Coturnix japonica: one gene and its partners. The protein of the gene in region 1 purifies or fractionates together with the protein of each later gene. This does not show direct contact. Links are inferred from orthologs where the notes say so. Each region holds a gene or a part of one and is shown in the gene's direction. Other genes may lie near its edges. The genes, in order: AKAP11, GSK3B and PRKAR1A.

Evidence for each region.
Region 2: the proteins of AKAP11 (region 1) and GSK3B purify together in Homo sapiens (affinity purification with mass spectrometry; 4 studies listed by BioGRID and IntAct, with this or other methods). This does not show direct contact. The link is inferred for Coturnix japonica from reciprocal best matches to the Homo sapiens genes AKAP11 and GSK3B.
Region 3: the proteins of AKAP11 (region 1) and PRKAR1A purify together in Homo sapiens (affinity purification with mass spectrometry; 3 studies listed by BioGRID and IntAct, counting the BioPlex papers as one, with this or other methods). This does not show direct contact. The link is inferred for Coturnix japonica from reciprocal best matches to the Homo sapiens genes AKAP11 and PRKAR1A.

Annotation. Positions count from the first base shown.
Region 1 is NC_029516.1:148,946,544-148,949,440, forward strand, and holds part of AKAP11 (A-kinase anchor protein 11), read left to right. Parts: exon of another isoform or gene 1-89; intron 90-101; coding exon 102-248; 3' UTR 249-2,897. UniProt on the Homo sapiens protein: Binds to type II regulatory subunits of protein kinase A and anchors/targets them.
Region 2 is NC_029516.1:71,756,536-71,760,189, forward strand, and holds part of GSK3B (glycogen synthase kinase-3 beta), read left to right. Parts: intron 1-876; coding exon 877-1,063; intron 1,064-3,654. UniProt on the Homo sapiens protein: Constitutively active protein kinase that acts as a negative regulator in the hormonal control of glucose homeostasis, Wnt signaling and regulation of transcription factors and microtubules, by phosphorylating and inactivating glycogen synthase (GYS1 or GYS2), EIF2B, CTNNB1/beta-catenin, APC, AXIN1, DPYSL2/CRMP2, JUN, NFATC1/NFATC, MAPT/TAU and MACF1.
Region 3 is NC_029533.1:6,394,998-6,398,651, reverse strand, and holds part of PRKAR1A (cAMP-dependent protein kinase type I-alpha regulatory subunit), read left to right. Parts: intron 1-293; coding exon 294-385; intron 386-722; coding exon 723-784; intron 785-1,286; coding exon 1,287-1,333; intron 1,334-1,981; coding exon 1,982-2,140; intron 2,141-2,250; coding exon 2,251-2,311; intron 2,312-2,596; coding exon 2,597-2,718; intron 2,719-3,300; coding exon 3,301-3,382; intron 3,383-3,654. UniProt on the Homo sapiens protein: Regulatory subunit of the cAMP-dependent protein kinases involved in cAMP signaling in cells.

The DNA of each region.
Region 1 (2,897 bases):
ATCTTTTATGAGCTAATGTTTCAAGAATAACTTCTGTAACTGTTAATCAGGATGTGCTGGTCAAAATATTTTGTTTTGTGTTTCCCTTGTATCCCCTTTAGCTTTCCAGAAGACTGCGAGAAAGAGATTGGAAAGTGGGAGATCTCTTGCAAGCAGTATTGAAGTACTGTGAAATGATAGAGAAGGCATCCGATGGAGAGCAAACCCTTAATAAGTCTTTGGTTGAGTGGCTTCTGGATAACGTCTGAAATAGTCCAAAGATGCACCACTCTTCGCTTCATTCCTCTTTTAAAAGGAGATGGGAAGAACGTAGATATATAATGTAAAATTTGATTAATGAATGTTCAAGTAATTGTCAGCATTTAAAAGACTGAGGTGAAAGTCTAAGTATCTGTGCTGTGCTTTGTGATACTGTGCACATGGTATGTTTATTCAGTCCATAATCAACATTGCCCACCCATGCATAACTTGTATTTACTGCTGTGTTCAGACCGTTGAGATAGTTATGAAAAAGTACCTTGTCTGTGATAGTAGTTCAGAGGAGGCAGTCTCAGGCAGGATAGTGAGGATTCCCACTGCACCAGGATTGCTCTTTCCCATTTGTGCCTGTTCTGTATTCATGGTGCGACTATGAACACTTAGGTTCTGGAAAAACCTCTTCTCATGGTCTGCAGCAGGATTTTCCAGAATTATCAATCTTGGCCAGGTGTTAGGTGCACAAGGGCAGAAATATCAGGAGTGGATAAAAAGGACTTGCCCAGGCAGACCCTTAGTGAAGTCTGCCTTCATAGCTGCCTTTCTCAATTTGAATTTTCGGAGACGTGAGAGTCTGCTCTGAAATTAAAGTGCAAATACTTGTTCCCTTTTGTTGATTGTAGATCTGGTAAGTTCTGGAAGGACAGACTGGGCAGCTGAGCTTCTTAAAAACTTAAGCAAAGTTTCCTGAAGTTTGCCAGTCAAGTTTAAATTGCTAAATTTCTTACTGAAGTTCTTGTATCAAAATACTTGTGTAGTATTGATTTTATGTCTGAAGAATTTGTATGTTAGTCTTTGTTATGGTTAATCCCAGCAGCAGCTCAGCACCACTCAGCTACTTGTTCACTGCCCCTCACAGCATAGTGACAAAGAGAACTGGAAAGGTCGAAGTGTGAGAACTCATGGCTTGAGATAAAGACAAGTGCAGCAAAAGCTGCACTTGCAAGCAAAGCAAAATCAGGACTCCCTCATATGTAATGGGTGCTTGGGAAGACAACCACCATGACTCCAAATGCCACCCTCCCTGCCATTTTTTTTTGCTGTACACAACACCACATAGTGTAGAATATCTCTTTGGTTAATCTTTATCAACTGTCCTGGTTGTGTCCCTCGTCAGCATCTTGTGTCCCTCAGCTCCTCACTGACAGGTCATCTTGAGAAGCTGAAATCTGCAGTTCCATTAGCACTGCTCTGCAGCAACTAAAATATCAGTGTGTTATATCATTTCCATCACAAGTCTAAAACATACCACCATACAAACCTTTGTGAAGAAAAGTAATCCAAGCCAAAGCTGGGAGAGTTTCACATACAAAATAGCAGATGGAATCTTCTTTCTCCAAGAATTGTGGCCATCTTTTTGACCAGTCTAATTCTTTACTTCTTACCTTCCATACATGAGTTTTGTTTTTAGTAATAAAGAGAATTTTGTTACTTGCTGAGCACTTAAGTGTTAACAAGGAAAGCTAATTTAAATTTAAAGGAGAAATTTATTGCAAATTGATTTTTCATTTTTCTTAACTACCTTTGCTGAATATTTTTAAAGGCACTTTTAATCAAGTCTTTTTAGCGATCTAGTCATGTTTCTTACCAGTACTGCTGACTTGCCATTCTGTCTGAAGGAATATCTGGATCTTTACATATCCTATTCTTTTGGGGTTTGCTTTTTTGTTTTTATACATTCTTTTTTAGAAAAAGGCACTTGCTCGTAATTACAAGGCTGCCACCTTCAGCTTCATATCACTTGAAAGCAAATTGTGATGTTTCACTTAGTTTGGGCAAACAAAAGAATCTTAATGGCTTTGTTATGGAAAAGCACATTGTTGGTATGTTGTGCATTTCAGGGTATGATCCCAAATGGAAAAAAACTGATGTCTTTAAATCTGTTCACAAGTTATAGTGCAATATGTACATTTCTGATTCCTTGTGTCCTGAATTACTATAAAGTGTCACACTGGTAAGAGCACTTTTCTTGCAATGTCTTTGTGTGTCAGGAAGGCATTCCACTAGTCAGTGTAAGTCTTCTTACAGAGACCTGGTTTATTTTAGTTTTCATTTGTCATCTGGTTTTCTAAAGGGACCCTGTCTTGGATCTCAGAGTTTACCAGTCCAACTGAGTTAGGTTTATATATGCAAATGTGTGTTCACACATGTGCATGCACATAGAAGTACATATGTTGATGTATCTGTATTATGTATTAGTTCTCACCTATATGAATTTACAACATGAATCCTTATTGCTAACTTAAAATTGTGTTATTGTCATAGTTTATTACCTCGTGCGACTTACCATTTTGCTGATTGAAAGATCGCATGACAAAGACCAAAAAACCACTACAGGCTCTTTTGCTCCTTTATAGGTGATACAATGCAAAGTTACAGGAATCAGCTTTCTCTAGAGTGCAAAGAGGGGAGAAAAAAACTATTATTATTTCTATATGTGGAAGATGGGTCTGGTAATTAGTAAATGTAAAGGGATATACAAATTTTTCTTCCTATTTTTTTCTCCCTCTCCCCACATTTTCCTTTCTTCTTTTTCAGTCTGAGAAAGTTGACTTTCAGCTTCTTTTGAACCATTCTCTGGTGGTAACATCTTCCCTTTAACAAAACAGTAATGAACTTGCATAAATTTAACTGCATAATCA
Region 2 (3,654 bases), about 77 Mb from region 1:
GGCCATCCAGGTCACCTACATGATAACCTTCTATTTTGTTTGTTATGTAAGAAGAGAGGAGGATGGGAGCATTTTTAAGTGTGTTTATAGCTGTTCTTAGAGCTTTAACACAAAGCTGCAGTGAGGAACTGCTGTGAGCTTTGTGTTGTCATCAGCCCGGGTAAAAGTCTTTTAGAATAGAATAGTTGGTTTTCTTGACACAGCTTTCAGCCTTAGAAATACCAGATGTGCAAGAGTTATCCCATTATAGGAATGACTTGCCAGAATAAGGTTAAGGAAGGAGAAACCTGCAAGTTAGAGCTAGACATTTCCTGCACCCCACCCTCGCTTCCCTTGTTGTTCTCCAAAGTTGAACAGCAGCCTCCATAGCAACAATCTGACCTACTGCCTGCAAAGGTCCATGTTAGTAAGACTTCATTCACTAGCAAAAAGTAAAAAGAAAAATGAAAAGAGAAAAAGAAAAAAAAAATAGTGGGGCCCTATTCAATTTTTGCATTCAGTGAATCCTGCTCATTTGAACCCTTTCTCCCCACCTTCACTCCACCCCATGTGCATGGCTGGTAGCACCTGTGTGTTTTTGTCATGACTTTTGAATGAGTCCCCCCTTCATTCTTGAAGTTGTTTCTCTGAGTGCGCTCCCATGAAGTCTCTTGCTGGCATTGCTCCTTCACTTGAGTGCAAAGCTTGGCAATTAACCCTTTCTCAACCCCAGGAACTGGATTTTCCCATCCTCGCTGGAGGACGTTGATTACTACAAACACAAGTTTGTTCCAGCGCGTTGGGCAACGAGAGGTTTAATTGCTCTGGCTTACTGCTGCTCAGCAAAGGGAAGGGACGTACCCAGACAACCTGTTTCTCCTTGCTTGCTTTTTGCAGGTCTTCCGGCCCCGCACTCCACCAGAAGCAATTGCGCTATGTAGCCGTCTGCTGGAGTATACCCCCACTGCCCGCCTGACTCCCCTGGAGGCCTGTGCGCACTCTTTCTTCGATGAACTACGGGACCCAAATGTCAAGTTACCAAACGGGCGAGAGAAACCTGCACTCTTCAATTTCACCACTCAAGGTAGCCTGCAGGCATTGAGGATCCCTGCTGGGATAAATGTTTGCTGTGATGCACACATCGCACTCTCAAAAGTTAAAAATCAAAAGGCTTACCTTTGCAGTTCAGTGTCTGCAGTCTAGATGATGTGTATGTGTGGAGTACCATGCTCAGTGACCATGGAGATTGGCTTTTCCTTTTGGAGATGTCCCTGTTCCTCCATTCCTGCAGTGCCATGTTGAGGAGCAGTGGATATTAAGGTTGGCAGGGAAGTTTGTAGTGTTGCTGCATATGTTGGTTTTGGATGTGAGATAAATGCAGGAGTGTCACTGTCCAGGTTTTATGTACTGTAGAGTTTATCTGGTATCATACTGACACAGTAAATCAGAAATTAGTGCATGTGATGTCCATCTGCTGAAATGTGCCCGAGCAATGAACTTGTTCTGAATGGCTGCCTTGCAGAACGTAAATCTACTACATGAAAACAAGGGTTTAAAAAAGGATTGGAAAGATCTGTACTAAGTACTTTTAAAAAATCCTTAGAGAAAAAATAAATACACATGTTGGGAGTTTGTCCCTGGTTTCCCCCAGGCAGTGTGGAAACTGCTGAGTAATTTAATCCTCAAGTAAACCCCTCCTTTGCCATCCTAGAGAGTTGATGTGCTCTCACAGTGACTCTTGGGGATGGCAGGAGAAATTGCTTCCAGGGAGAAAAAATGCTTAAGATTCAAAAAAGCAGTTTTCTGTCACTGACAGGTACCAGTGTTAGCGTCTAGAAAGAGAATGCAGGAGAGAGGTTGGCCATTAATACATTTCCAGATGAGCCGTGTTGCTTCTCACAAGCCAAAAAATATCCAAAAACCAACAAAAAAAAAACCCCACAGAATTTGAAGAATAAGCAAATAAAGTGCTTTTAAGACATTAGTTAATAAATGTGCAGTAATAGGTCCTGTCTAGCAGCATTACTACTTATGACCTGAGGATACGCAAAGAGCTTCTGCTGCTCCTGTGGCAATGTGTTGTCATCAGTGGCCCCATCAGAGTGACTAATCCAAAGCAGAAATCACATTTGGGAAACAGATCAGGACTTTAGAAATCAGATATGTTGATAACTCGTGTCACCTCTGGTAATTCTGAAAGCAGTGAAAGATATCCTTTTGTTTTGTATGACATTTGTTTTCAACAGACAGTATTAAATCTTAAAGGAAGTGTTTTATTTGGCTATGGCCAGTTGACCGAAACCCATGGAGTAGGAGGTGGAGAGGGCTTGAAAACAAAGCTGTTAGAAATAACAATATGGATCTGGTGGTTACTGTACTGAATTGATTTTCAGAAAGAACATAGGCATCATACCAAATCTGCTGACATAGGCAGTGGTCTAAGAGAAAGCATGGAGTGTATATGGCAGATAAAGATCGTGGTCTTTGGCTGCCAGCAGTGGTTCTGAGGAGTGTGCATGCCTACTGTAGAGATGAGAGCTGTTAAGAGAGCTTTATCTGATCATTCTTACTGTCTTGTCTCTATTTTTCTTAGTATAAGAACAAATAATATGTGCTAATTAGGACTTAAAAAAAAAAATGATCATGCCCAACAAAGCATCTGTAGTAGCCAGTGCTGCAGTTCAGTGACTCCTAGACCTGCAAGACAGAAAGCACTGAAAGCATTTTGTTTTTTCTCTTAGAAGATGAATTTTTCAAACATCCTGTAAAGTGATTGCCATTTACTAAACTTCTTAGAGCTTCTCAGTGATTCTGCTGGGTCACAAATGTTGCTATCTGTCCATATTAGTTGGCCATTGAAGACTGCTGTGATTCAGCACATAAAAGCGGCTGTCATTGCTCTTTGATGACAAGCGCTTTTATGCCTGGAGTTTTTCAATCAGAAAAAAAAATATGACTTGTGACCTTTAATTATAAAAAGGGTTTTTGTCTTTTCTTTAAAAATAAAACTAATTTTAAAGGAAGACTTGATTTCTGTCCAGGCTCAGTCTCAGCGTGTCCAGAAATCCTTTGTGTGACCTAGTGTCACCTAGAAATGATATTTCTGTTTAGGGTATGCTCAGTGATGAGGTACAGAAAGAGGAGTATGAAACCTGTGTTGATTCCAGCACTCTTCTGCTCTGAAGAGAAACTGCTCTATAAGCTTGTTACACAGAAAGTTTGTTACTGTGACCAAGTAAATGGTACAAAACTAATTCCTCCGAGGCATTCTTGGAGCGCTGAAATATTAAACAGCTCGGTGCTCTCAGTATCATCATTTCCCAGTGCAAGGCATTTTATTGTGTTTGGGGAATGAAGATAATCTGGTGTTCTGGTACAACTGGATATTTTTATTGTAGTTCCTTATTGGAGATGCAGAGTGGCTGTAGGTGTCAAGATTTGATCAGGAGAAAGAGAGCTGTTTCCCCAGCTAACGTGAACCAGAATTGTCTCCTATAAATTATTTGGTATCACTGCTCTGTTCACGTAATTATATTGAAATCTTTATCTGCATTGCCTTGATCACAATACCTTCTTGCAGCAGTACTGGTTGAAATTACCGCAACCCTGAACTGCAGGTTTGATTTAGATAAGCATGCTACAGTTCCACAGCTTGTCCATAGATTGTCACTGAGG
Region 3 (3,654 bases), on another chromosome or scaffold:
TCATTGAGAAATTAGTTGAACATATACTTGCAATTGTGAAAAGACACTACGGACTTAACATGGAATTGTGGTTTTTACAGTTGCATAAATTCAATGTTTTATTTACCTTCTGAATAAACTGGCTGTAGAAGTTGACTGTATTTGTGTCTTAGAACTACAGTGCTTAAAAGAACCCGAAAATACTTGAGTTTTGTAGCAGTGTGAGTCATTTGTTAGTCCTGGATAGTTCAGAAGATTCTCTTTAGAAATTGAGTCAGTTACTTTTTCTGATTTTTTTTTTTTTTTAATCCTAGGTTATTCCAAAAGATTATAAAACTATGGCTGCATTGGCAAAAGCTATTGAGAAGAATGTGCTGTTTGCCCATCTTGATGATAATGAGAGAAGGTAGGAATAAATCTTTGTCGAAGTCTTAAAAGTATAGTATAATGCTAAGTTAAAAGTTACAAGTTGCATTTAACTTTCCATTTGTATAGTAAAATACAAAGTTGCACAGCCTGTTTACAAACAGTCAGTGTAAATGTAAAGAGATTACAGGAAAAGTTGGTTGGTTGAGGTTGGAGGTGTGCGAATGCATGCACAGTATCACGGAATAGCTGGGATTGGAAGGGACCTTTAAAGATCATCTGGTTCTAACCCTTCAGCTGTGGGCAGGGACACCTTTCACTAGATGAGGTGGCTGTGTGTGTGTTGCAGTTGTCTAATTTTGGTATCCTTTTTTCAGTGACATCTTTGATGCAATGTTTCCCGTCACTTACATTGCAGGCGAGACTGTCATACAGCAAGGCAAGTGACATTACTGACATTGATAAATGTGTGGGATGGTGAGCAGGCCCTGACCTAATGCTCTTGTTACTGTGCTTCTTTGGAAGTTAAAACCCTGCCTGGGTGTGACAAACCTTTCTTGTCACATTAACTGAAGCACAGCTCATGCTCTGAAGTAAGGAGAGAAGCAATTGTGGGAATAATAGTGTTTCCTCACATGTTATTTGTTGGAAAGATTGTGATTTAATGACTCTGCAAAATACTTCAGGACAACTTTTGGATCCAGTATGCCTTTCCATCGTTCTTGGAAGTGTGGCTGATGTACTGAATGCCAGTAGATGTCATCTTTCAAATGACTAAAAAGTGTGGAATAAAATGATATTCCCCCTCCCAGCTGTGCAGAATGTCTCTGTCAACCTCATTATATTCTGCACATCAAAGCTGGCAGAGATGTTGGTTTTGTACAAGTTTGTTTGCCTCACTGTACCTTTTGTGTATATTAATTTTTTTTTCCTGTTTTTAGGGGATGAAGGTGATAATTTCTACGTTGTTGATCAAGGAGAAATGGATGTAAGCATTATTGGTAGCTTATTAATGATGCATTCAGTCCCTAGCAGAAGAGTAGCATGGTGTTCTCAGGCCTCACTTACACATCCTTTATTAGCTTTTCTCTTAAGAAGTTGGAACTTGTAGAAGCTAATTTTGCTTTGGAGCTATTTTGCTCTTTGATACTTCAGTTTGACTGCACAGGCTGTGAATTGTGTTTAACTTTAAAATGAATTATTCAGATGTTAATTAAGTACTAATACTTGACAAGTTTGGAGTCTGGGTAAAGTGTTTAAGAATGACAGACCTTTTTATTTTCTAATCCAAATAATCCATAGCTTTCTATGGAATTTTTTTGACAGCTTCTTGGAAGTCCATTCAAGTCCTTTGTGTTTCATAGAGGCTTATTAAGGTTTTTTTCCTATCCAAGGGTCTGTGGGGTCTGCATTTCTAGTCTCTGTGCACATGATGTGATCAGCAGACCCACTGTCAATGGAAATAAAACTTGTGATGGAGTTTGGGCTTGGGTGTGAAGCGTAAATGAAATCCTGAAATGATCACTTTGACTATGTAGATGAAAGAATTTCCCTATGTTATAAAGGAAATGCGGGGTAGTGGGAGCGTCGCATATCTTTGACCAGCCTTACAAACACCGTGGGCTTTGGCTTTCAGGTTTATGTGAACAATGAGTGGGCAACCAGTGTTGGTGAAGGTGGAAGCTTTGGAGAGCTTGCCCTTATATATGGAACTCCCCGTGCAGCAACTGTCAAAGCGAAGACAAACGTGAAGTTGTGGGGCATTGACAGAGATAGCTACAGAAGGATTTTGATGGCAAGTATTTGTCTAACTGGTGTGTGGTTTCAGTGACGCAAGTAGCTGTCTGCTAACCTGCAGTTATTTGTTGTTGTTTCATTGTGTGCTTTTTATTTCTTTTTCCATAGGGAAGTACTTTGAGAAAGAGAAAGATGTATGAGGAATTCCTCAGTAAGGTGTCTATATTGGGTAAGTACAAAGATGTTGTTCCAAAGGGGAATAAATTGCTGTATTGCAATTAAGCTGTTACTCAGCACTATTATGATTACACGTCAGGCTATTGTGGTAATGTGTTAAATGGACTGCAACGTCTGTGTTGCTTTTCTGCATCATTCAGAAATAATTGTAATTAAAGTCTTGATATGCAGTGCCCAACTGCAGCTGTAAATATGTTGTTCTGCCTATAAGGATAGAGGAAAGAGTGTGGTTTGTACCTCAAAAAGACAACCTATTAATGAACTCTTAACTTCATAGAATCTCTGGACAAGTGGGAGCGCCTTACTGTAGCTGATGCATTAGAACCGGTACAGTTTGAGGACGGGCAAAAGATTGTGGTCCAGGGAGAGCCAGGGGATGAGTTCTTCATTATCTTGGAGGTAAGTAGGACTAAAATCAAAGCCTCATAAGTTTGTCTATGTTTTCAGTGTTGTTTATTCTGCCCTTAAATAGATGCTGAGAGAAAAATGAAATGTTGGAATGTACTTTTAGAGAATTCCTCATGAGATGTTATCTTGCTGGACACGCAGCAGCTTATATTTAGTTTTGCTATTTTTATAAATGGTAATTCCAGGAAAAAATAATGTTTCTGACTTAAACCAGTTCATTCTGTTCAGGAGAGTAAAAACACACATTACTAAATAGTAATATATAGATACACATAGTAATATCCTGCTATAGTGGTATTGTTATCTCTTTTTGCAAACTGTACTGTAATATTGGTGTAAGAAAAATGGGAAGAGATCGATGCTGTATGGAAAGTATACAGCCAGGATGTTTTAAACTTAAAGAAGAAGGAAGGTGAGTTGTTCTTATAGAGCAGTCTGGTGAACTATGCATGAACTGTGAAGCAGTTTTTAAAGACTGACATAAGTTATTTCTGCAAAGCAACTGATTCTGGAATTTGGTAATTTAAGTGATAGCAGAAATTCTAATTGTTTAATTGCTGTGGTTAATTAAAGGGCACAGCTGCAGTGTTACAGCGTCGATCAGAAAATGAAGAATTTGTTGAAGTGGGTAGACTGGCACCTTCTGATTATTTTGGTAAGTTCTGTAGTGACAACAGTGGTGTCATATACTACTGTCAGCGTCTAACCTGTGGTGATGAAGTTGCTTTGGCTTGAAAAAGCCTATGTGTGCTAGCAGGAAAAAGAAATCTAAGTTCCTAGTGCACACTGATTTATTTGGTCACAGGTAAGGATTGGACATGTTTGCTCACAGGGCATTCTTGGATTATAATATAACAGCGTATAACAGGATATTCCTGACTGCCTCATTTTAGGTTCAGAAGAACAATGCCTTGAAGCTCTCAAACA